Linked DNA regions of Drosophila melanogaster. The protein of the gene in region 1 interacts with the protein of each later gene in a pairwise test. Each region holds a gene or a part of one and is shown on either strand. Other genes may lie near its edges.

Region 1 (4,398 bases):
GAGGACTTGGCCCCGCCTCGCAATTTTGCCTTTGGCCTCCATGTGAATCCAATGGCCAATCTATCCCAGGCACAAACTCTTTCGGCATGTGAGGTCTCCTTTTCTCGTTAATATGCCAGTGTTTTATTTAAAAGTCACAAAAACAATACAGCAAAAACAATATATAACCGCATGGAAAACAAACTATTGGTAGCCAAATATATGTGGACAAATTTCGAAAATAAATACGGAAATTTAAACGGCTCTTCGACATCTGGCGACTACCCAAACAAGAATTTTTTTACGCGAGCTTAATTAACAAAACACAAATTCGCTCTTATTTTTCTGAATGAAATATCCAAATGGAAATGATGACGAATGGGAAAGCAAACGCGGAATAAGCCTGGCTAAAATGAACGGATTTGTTATCTAATTTATTATGGAATTTAATTCGCGACACAAGATTTCAACCAAATCATTTCAGAATGACAAAATCAGAAATCTTTAAGCCTTCAAAATTTTATCCAATTTAGATAAAGCTGCATAATATTATTAACTATAAAAGAAATTAAATTTAAGTAGCGGCTGTTATTATTATTAGTTATAAATAATGATATACACATATAATAGTAACACTTTTATTGAACTGATATTCCCACGCAACGCAACCAAAAATTCTCTTTTGCCCAGAACGACTTTAAAATTGGTGTGGGTTTGGTTTTGGCCTCTTGACTGATTTCCATTTGGCCAAAACTCAGACGTGGCACAATATGTTATGAATTTTTATTCAGTTGTTTGTGTGCCAAGGAAAAAATTAATTTATGGCCTTCGTCGTTATTGTTCAAATAAAAGGCCCAAATCTAAATGGGTGATCGAAAAAACGGAGAGAGAGAGGGAATGTGAAGTCGGGGCGTTCGTCATCCTCATCCGGGCTCCATGTCGCCATATCATCGATGGACATCAATGTGGGGATATGTCAGAAAATCGGCGGGCGGGGAGACGTTGCCTGAATTTAAATGGACAAATTAATTGCGTTTGTCAGGCTTGTGGACAGGTTCTGGTTCCATTGGAACCTCGGCAGCAGCAACAAACCCAAGCGGCTGGACAAAGAATTAATTGGTTTTTGGACACTGGATGAAATATATTTAATTTAGGCTTAATGCCGGACAGAGATTGCATTTTAGTATGCACCCGCGCCGCCATCTCAAATTCCTCACAAGTGTCAAATTGGCCTTGAATCATGACTGGGATTGTATCTGTATCTCTATCTCTGTATCTTTATCTGTGCGCGATCGCCGGGCCATCAAATAGCCATTAAACAGTAGACCATTATCCTAGCTGATGGGGAATGATACCTGAGAGCCTCCACAAAGGAGGTGCGGTGTAGTCGATGATCGAGGATCGGGACATAAATTATCACTTGGTTTCTGGGTTCGATAAAGTTCTTTATAGGGGGTTATGTGTGGAATGGTGACGTGTAGAAGGGAATGCACTGAGGGAAAAGTCAAGCATTTTATTCAAATTGATTTCTTACCTTGTTCAAACACTCCGTTCTGTGCATCGTTATGCAAGCAGGATATTTACGGTGAATAGAATAGTATTCCCCTAAAGTTTGAAATCCCTCTTTTGTCCGATTTGAGTTGACAGTTTTATTGTGTCGCCTTTCTGAATTAATTGAGCCGCCCCTCAGTTCCAAATGAAGTCGTTGTCGCGTTTCCGAGGAATGTGGCGAGGATGGTATCCCCGACTCATCCCCTGCGGGAAGCTGGGCTCGGAGGACCACACATCGCGATGGAGACACACGCAGCTCCGAAAACGAACCCAAAAAGCATGGCCTGAACAAATTGCTTCTTCTCTATTTATACGGCCTGCGGGCGAGCCGTTGCCAATTAATTATAATTGATTGGCGATATTAACGAAAATTATGATGATTATGATTATTCGCTGGAAATGCACCCGCAGATACGTATGTAGATACGTTTTTCTGTCGAAAGATATAACGAGGCACAATGAAAGCTGAAAACTATCCGGATGATGTATGATAAACGACTTAATTGTTTTTTTTTTTTTTTTTGATTCAAGCTCCCCGCCATTGGCATCGAATACATTAAATGATAGATGTGAATGCTGAATGAACAAATTTGCCGGATTGCAGAGAATTTTTTAATTTGCTAGACTTAGACAAGAAATTAAATTTACGTTACATTATGTCGATTAAGTGCGGTCACATTGCTCGTTATCGATGATTCCTTCAGTTGTCACACTGAACTTTTTAATCAGAGTAGCTTTTATTGTGATTTCATTTTAGTTCACCAACAAGGCCTGGTGTTCGGTGATTTTAGCTGAAAAGTATGAGACGTTTTCGGCCCATGAATCGTTCTTGGAATGCTCTGCGTTCGCGTTCACGTTCACGTTCACGTTCGCGTTCGCCTTTCCGTTCGCAATCCATTACTCGATCCCGGCCCACCCGTTCGGATACCATTTACACAGAGAGGACGCGATTGCAGCGACGTTTCAGTCGGCCTCCCTCCTCCTGGGACATTCCACCAGAGGGTTATAACCACCTGACTCCGCAACAGTACAAGGCCATGCTGGCCAGCGGCCAGATTGCCTCGAGGATTCTTTCCGATGGCGTACACGGGGGCGAGTCCGCCGCGATTTCGATGATCACTCGACAAGCTCGCCGCCTGTATGTGGGTAATATTCCATTCGGAGTTACGGATGAGGAGATGATGCAGTTCTTCAATCATCAGATCATGGCTCTGGGATTTGAAGCAAAAAGCTCGCACTACATGGATGGCAATGCTGTGCTGACCTGCCAAACGAATCTGGAGAAGAACTTTGCCTTTCTGGAATTCCGATCCATTGACGAGGCCAGCCAGGCCTTGAATTTCGATGGGATGGTCTTCCGTGGACAAACCTTGAAGATAAGACGGCCACACGACTATCAGCCAGTGCCCTCGATTTCAGTCTCTGCAATGGAGAGCTACAGGTCATTCAGGGTCCCTGCCATCAATGTAGCCCAACAACCGGCTGTTACCCTTCCTGTGACCACTATTGTCCCCGATTCCCCCAATAAGATCTACGTAGGTGGCTTGCCCACCTGCCTGAATCAGGATCAGGTCAAGGAACTGCTGCAGTCGTTTGGAGAACTGAAAGGACTGAATCTGGTGATGGATACCAACACGAACCTGAACAAGGGTTTCGCCTTCTTTGAGTACTGCGATCCCTCGGTTACCGATCACGCCATAGCTGGATTGCACGGCATGCTGCTGGGGGATCGCAGGCTGGTGGTCCAGAGATCTATTCCAGGCGGAAAGAACGCATTCCCCGGCCACTTACCAACCGTTCTTCAGGTACCGGGCATATCCACACTACAAGATCCTGGCTCACCTACCGAAACTCTCTGCCTGCTGAACATGGTGCGGCCGGAGGAGCTGCTGGACGACGAGGAGTTCGAGGACATTCGCACGGACATCAAGCAGGAGTGCGCCAAGTTCGGCGAGGTTCGCAGCATCAAGATTCCGCGTCCCATCGGTCAATTTCCGAAGCGGGGCTGTGGCAAGGTCTTCGTCCAGTTCGAATCCGTGGAGGATTCGCAGAAGGCCCTTAAGGCGTTGAGTGGTCGCAAGTTCAGCGGGCGCATAGTGATGACCTCGTATTACGATCCCGAAAAGTACCTGGCGGATGATCTACAATAAAGTCGAAATAATAAACCATATTAACTGAAATTTCAATATGCTCAACCATCTAGGAACATCTACACTTAATAGTCAGTCCATCATGACACCTGATGATGACTCGGTGAGCTGATGTGGCCAAGGCCACGAGCGATAAGGAAGTTAATATCCAGTTCTCCACTCTCGTTGTTGTGATATCAACTGCTTAACGCTTTAAGTTATCTGGGATCGAAATGTGAGGACACGCCTCCTCGCCCCCCAAATACGATGGCAGAAATTCAATTAGGCAGACCGACTTAAGCTGCAATCCTTAAAGCTGCTCGAAAGCCGACAGCTCCTGCAGCAGCTTCTCCGCTCACCTTTTATTTCCAGTTCCTCTGGAAGAGTCAGGCCAAAGCTCTTGCTTAATTAAAATTTTAAACTTTACGCTTTATCGTCGACATTTCTCGGCATATTCACACCTACCGACCGCTTATTACGAAGCCCAGGTAATGCCTTAATGCCTTTTCAATGGAGAAGCTTCTTCGGCGGCTTATCTCGCCGACGAACGGTTGCATTTTCTCAGGTATCACGTTTCGTGGGTCTTGGGGCATCATCCGTTCAGCCTGGGGTTGGGGTCTTTTCTTATCTCAAAGTTTGGTCATTTGGTCGACAGCCGATCATCAATACTCGTACGCGTAATGAAATGGTCAGCACACGGAAAGAAAGAAGTTTTACAGGTGGCAAAGTTGTAGCCCAG
Region 2 (5,564 bases), on another chromosome or scaffold:
AATATTAAGATAATATTAACTATAACGAACAGAAAGTAAATGTGTACAATTAAGTGACAAAGCGAAACTGCATAATTAGTGGAAGAGAGAAACAAACTATTAAAAGTGTAAATCAAATTTAATGCTAGATCTAAAATATATTGTATATATTGGATATGTATGTTATATATGCGGCAACAACAAAAAACAGAACCCCTCCCCCCAAAAAAAAACACACAAAAGCTAATTAATACATTTAAATAATGATAATAATAAATGAAGAAAACAAAAAGTATTTCAAAACTAAAATTAAAGTGTTATAATTTTCGTTTGCGTCTTATTTTCCCACACAATTTTCCCCCGTTTTCTTTTTGGATTTTCTCCTGATTTTCCGATTTGTTTCGTACGATGTGGTTAACATGGACCAATTTTTATATACAAATATATATATATATACATATATATATGTATAACACCCACACACCGACGAGTCTTTGAATAGAGTATATACGCGAACTATATATAACGGAATATATATATATATTCATGTACGTATCTGATATGATATTCAAATATAGCGAAATTTTTAAGCTTTGCCCCGGCTTATTCCCCGTTCAGCGCTTAACAAAACGAAACAAATCGAAAAAAAAATCGAATAAATCGAAAAAGTCGAAAATTTACGCGAAATCGCCTCGATGTGGTAGTTAAATGAATCTCAAATCTCTTCTCAATGTTATCAAAAACACACGTAATTTAATTATAATATAAACACGTATATCCAAAAGCGAAAAAGAAACAAAATTCGTAGTGGTTTCATTGTAAAACAATATTTCATAATGATTAAACGAACAATTTAGCTTCAAGATTTCGATATTCCAGTTCGATTTCTTCTCTCGCTTAATGAAATGGAAAAATTAAAATTAAAATGACACGATTAACGATTAACAATATCGATAGGCAGTTGGGATGCGCAAATGTGATTTTATTCAAAATAAAATACACATAACCATGATTACAATTAATGAATATTTTTATTTGGATCTGTGGGATCGTTCGCTGGAACTGGCTGCGAAGGAAGAGAGTTGTACATACGAGTATTTAACTAACGTAATCTTTATGAATGAACATGGTATATATCTGATTATATATAATATGTTTAAATTTAGTTCATAAGTTGTAATTTTAAACGATGGAACAAAAGCAAATACACATTAAATAATATGAAGAGAAATAAACCAAATAGCAGCATCAGTTTATTGGGCTCGTCGTTCAATTCCAGCGACTCTTCTTGGCTCTTTTGGCATCCTGGTTGCTGCTGTTGTTGGCCGATGAGGCGGAAGCACCCTGTGTTGATGATGAGGGCGGTGCCATTGGCGCAGCGAAAACTCCCGACTCCGGCAGAGTTTTCTCCCAAGTGCGATCGCTGGACGCACGGAACTGATTGTTATACTGGGATCGGAATGCCTCCCTCATTGCTGTATAGCGATCTGTGGCTGGTCCCGAGCTCGAAAAGGCTTTGCTAGAGGGTCCGTCGGAAGGACTGTGGGCAGACACACTCGCAGTGGACTCCGAGCCACCAGCCGAACCATAGCCACCACCTCCATTTCCTTTCTCCCGATAGCCCAATCCTGTGTGGGTATTTGTTGGTCTCTTGCCTTTGCCCTGCTTGAAGCGTGAGCTGCGGAACCAGGAACTCTTCATGGCCAGCTCCATCAGATCGTCGGGCACCAGCTGATCGGCTCCCTCCAAGTTACGCACCAGATGTCCGGCGAACTCCTTGTCCTTATCGGTGACTAGAGTGTATGCATTACCCTTTTCACCGGCTCTGCCCGTTCTTCCAATTCTGTGCGTGTGGGTTTCAATGTCCCTGGCTGTGTCGTAGTTTACCACATTCCTAATATGGGGTATATCCAATCCTCTGGCTGCCACGTCGGTGGCCACTAGAATATCGCACTCTTTTCTCTTAAACTGAGTGATGACCTTGTTTCTGTCCGCTTGGTCCATATCGCCGTGGAGTAAAAGACAATTGTACTCCTTAATTAAAAGATTGTTAGACACCGTTTCAGCATCTACTTTTTTAGTCACAAAGATCAGGACACTTCCTTCGGAAAGGAACTTCACCAGATGGCACAGCAGCCAATTCCATTTCTGCAGGGGATTGGGGAAGACGTACACAGACTGTGTAATGTCCTGATTGGCCTCGTTCAGGTCTCCCTGCACTATTCTCACGGGATCGGAAAGCACATCTCTGGCCAGACGTTCAATTCGCTTCTTAAAGGTGGCCGAAAACATTAGGCATTGACGATCTGGACGCACGTGGTTGCAGATGGAGCGAACCTGGGGCTCAAAGCCCATGTGGAACATACGGTCGGCCTCGTCAAGCACTAGGAAAGTGACCCTCCTCAGATTGGTGGCCTTCATCTTGACCATATCTATCATACGTCCTGGCGTGGCCACAATAATTTCCGCTCCCTGTTCCAGAGCTTTACTTTGCTCCCATTTGGAGCCTCCGCCGTAGCAGCAGACCACGTTCAGGTTGTAGACCTTGCCAAACTTCTTGGCCTCGTTGTAGATCTGCAGGGAAAGCTCGCGTGTAGGTGCTAGGATAAGTCCTATGGGTCCGTCGCCTGGCTTCAGCTGTTTCTGATCCATCACATGCATTAGCATCGGCCAGATGAAAGCTGCTGTCTTACCGGAACCAGTTTTGGCTATGCCAATGATGTCTCTGCCGGACAGGGCGGTGGGCACTGCTTGTGCCTGGATGGGTGTGGGCTGTGTATACTCCGCTTTCCTCACGGCCTTGATGAGTTGCTCATCAAAGCCGAAATGGCCGAAGGACGTGACTGGTTTGGGTGGTGATGGACCAGTGACCTTTACGCCAAGTGTGCGCCTTAATTCCCGGACTTGCTCATCATCCAGGGCGGCTATGTCGTCATGCTGCGTGTAGAAGTTCTTCTCGAAGGGTTCGTACTCGATTTCGGAATGGTAGATGGGCGGCAGAGGATCAATGTCCTTTTTCTTCGGTGGGGCTATGGGATTGCCATCCTCATCGTATTCGATTTCCTGATCGGATCCCTCGTCGCGAAGTCCAGCATTGGGATTCTCCTTCATGTAGCGATAGTAGCTCTCCTCATCGTCCTCGTCATCGATGTCACCTCTCACCGCCTGAGTTGGCGGCTTAGGTGCTTGTTGACGCTTCTCCTTCTCCACCTGCTGGTTGATGCCCGCCATGAACTGCTCGAGGGGATCCTCATCCGAATCGGAATCCTCTTGCTTTTTGGCCGACGTTGGCGGAGCTCCCGGGGATCCTGGTGCCGGTATATAGGCTTGTTCTATCTCCTTTTCCCGGGGCTCATCGTCATCATCGAAATAGTCATCGTCCGTGTGGTGCTTCCTTTTGCCAACCAGATTGGTGGCATTGGTGTACTGGCTGATGGAGTCCAAGGTGGAGTAGCCGTGCTTGGACGTTGATGTAGTGCTCCCGGTGACACCGCCACGGCTTGCTCCTCCAAATCCTCCGCGGGAACCAGAATAGCCACGGGCATTCAGCATCGGGGGCGGCGGTACGGCGTTCATGTTGTTGCCGGAACTTGCTGGCTTGCGGTAGGGGAAGCCCCCACCGCCAATGCCTCGATATCCACTCATTGTGCTACAAATCCAAGCAAATGCTGCAAGCTAACAATTTCCAAAATCAATAGAAAACAGTATGACCAGAATGAGCAGCAGCGGGACAGCGGGCAAATGCTTTGGGGTCACACTTTAGCTGATAGGAGTTTTACCCTCCTCAATTATGGTCACACTGGTCGAAAGTGAAAACAATTGTTGCTTGTATTTACAAATATTCAGCTAATTAAACCAACGCCTGAAATATGCAATCGAATATTGAGAATGTATCACGGGACTATGCAAAGATACTGCAGAGCGCCGACCTGGAGAAGGAGATAAATCCACTGTGCACGAATATCGAGGATATGCTGGCCAGATTGGATGAATTTGAGACTTTGTTGGCTTCGGTTAGTTGTTTTCTTTAAAGTTAGTGTTTTCACTAATAGTTTATTGACTTTTAGGTGCGTGCGGAATCCAATGGCATGATGGCCAACAACGTCTGCTCTATACTAGGTTTCACAGACAGTTTCGAGCAACTGAAGGCCAGAATCGATGGTCTGGAGCAATGTGTGGGTGTAGTTAGTGCCAATTTGTCGGAAGTGGAAAGATCTGTGGATATAGCCGAGGAGGAGCTGCATGTCACAGACTACAGCCTCAAGGGACTTCTCCTGAAGCCGCTGAAGGCCAAGTTAAGTGCCAGCGATACCAGCACACTCAGCTCCCTGCCACGATCCAATCTCGTCGAGGAGGAATATCAGCCTGTGGAGATCTACAAATCCGACGATTACTTCGGAAAGTCGGAGGAGGAGAACTACGTAGCTAAATGACTAAACATATATGGAATAATTAGATGAAACCTAGTTTTACTAAGCTTAAAATAGAGATGTTACTAGAAGTTAGAGGATCTTTGCAGATGTAAAAACATAAAGGTAATTTTATTAACTTTCTAAAAGCAACTTCATTTGCATTTTGTTTTTAAATTAGGCATTTCTAATGCATTTTGAATATGCAATAACTATCAAATTAAGACAAAGACATCTAAATTCAGCTTCGTAATTACATTTAAGCACCTACTTGTTATAATTGTCATTATAATTATAGCGAAAAATTACAGATAGAATGGAAAAAACCGAGGCAAACAATACGTTGTTTATTGTTACATTAAGTCTGGCTGTTTATATTTATATTACTGATTACTTACATTAGAGTAGTGAATAAAATAGCAGTTAGCTACGTGGATGCCATAAATATTTAGTGAATAATTAGCGAAGAGGTGCTTACGTAAATATTCAATGTTTTTTTTTACGGGAAGCGCGAAGTTAAATTGCTCGAATTTATACGGGGAAATCCGTGGAGTCTCGCATTTAAATTGCTGCCTATAACGTGGAAAAATTCTAAAAAAAACTGCAATACAGCTTTACTATAATAACAATTCTCTGTGTACGCCTTTGTCTAGAACACAAATTAAATTTGTTACCAGGAAGCTACTTTAACGCATAAAATTTAGTGCGCTTGAAGGCGTTTAAAATCGGTACAAGGTTCTTAAATTTATTATTACCAACGTGTGTAGAAGTATTATTAACAAATATGAAGTACATTTAAAGCTTCATATATTTCCCTTGAAGTAATATTAAATTATATTACAATTGAATTAATTCTTGGAAGTTTTACCCATAATTAATGCCTGAAATGCAGTAGATACCACTTTTTACTTTGCCTATTATATTAACTGCCTTTTTACAGACAGCCATCCACATAAATATTTATTAAATAATTAACGCCCAGTCTTTTTATATAAGCATGTAAATATTTGTGTTTATTTTAGTTCGTTTCGCTGACTACAAATCTCGTGATGGTCCCATTAGCGACTCTTAACATAGGAAGCCTAGGCCTTAGCTTTCTCCTTGCTTTCCTCGGAACTGGAAGTGGACTTATCCGCGTGCTTGTTCTTCTCGAAGAGCTCGGCCACGGGAATGGGA

Evidence for each region.
Region 2: the proteins of LS2 (region 1) and CG6418 interact in a two-hybrid assay, tested with the Drosophila melanogaster proteins (one large-scale study listed by BioGRID).

The regions. Positions count from the first base shown.
Region 1 is NT_033778.4:23,209,431-23,213,828, reverse strand, and holds LS2 (large subunit 2), read left to right. Parts: upstream 1-2,289; 5' UTR 2,290-2,330; coding exon 2,331-3,680; 3' UTR 3,681-3,699; downstream 3,700-4,398.
Region 2 is NT_037436.4:10,875,322-10,880,885, forward strand, and holds CG6418 (uncharacterized protein), read right to left. Parts: upstream 3,717-5,564; 5' UTR 3,625-3,716; coding exon 1,249-3,624; 3' UTR 994-1,248; downstream 1-993. Other genes in the region: Blos4 (biogenesis of lysosome-related organelles complex 1, subunit 4), read left to right, coding at 3,849-3,992, 4,047-4,412; CG6409 (uncharacterized protein), read right to left, coding at 5,471-5,564.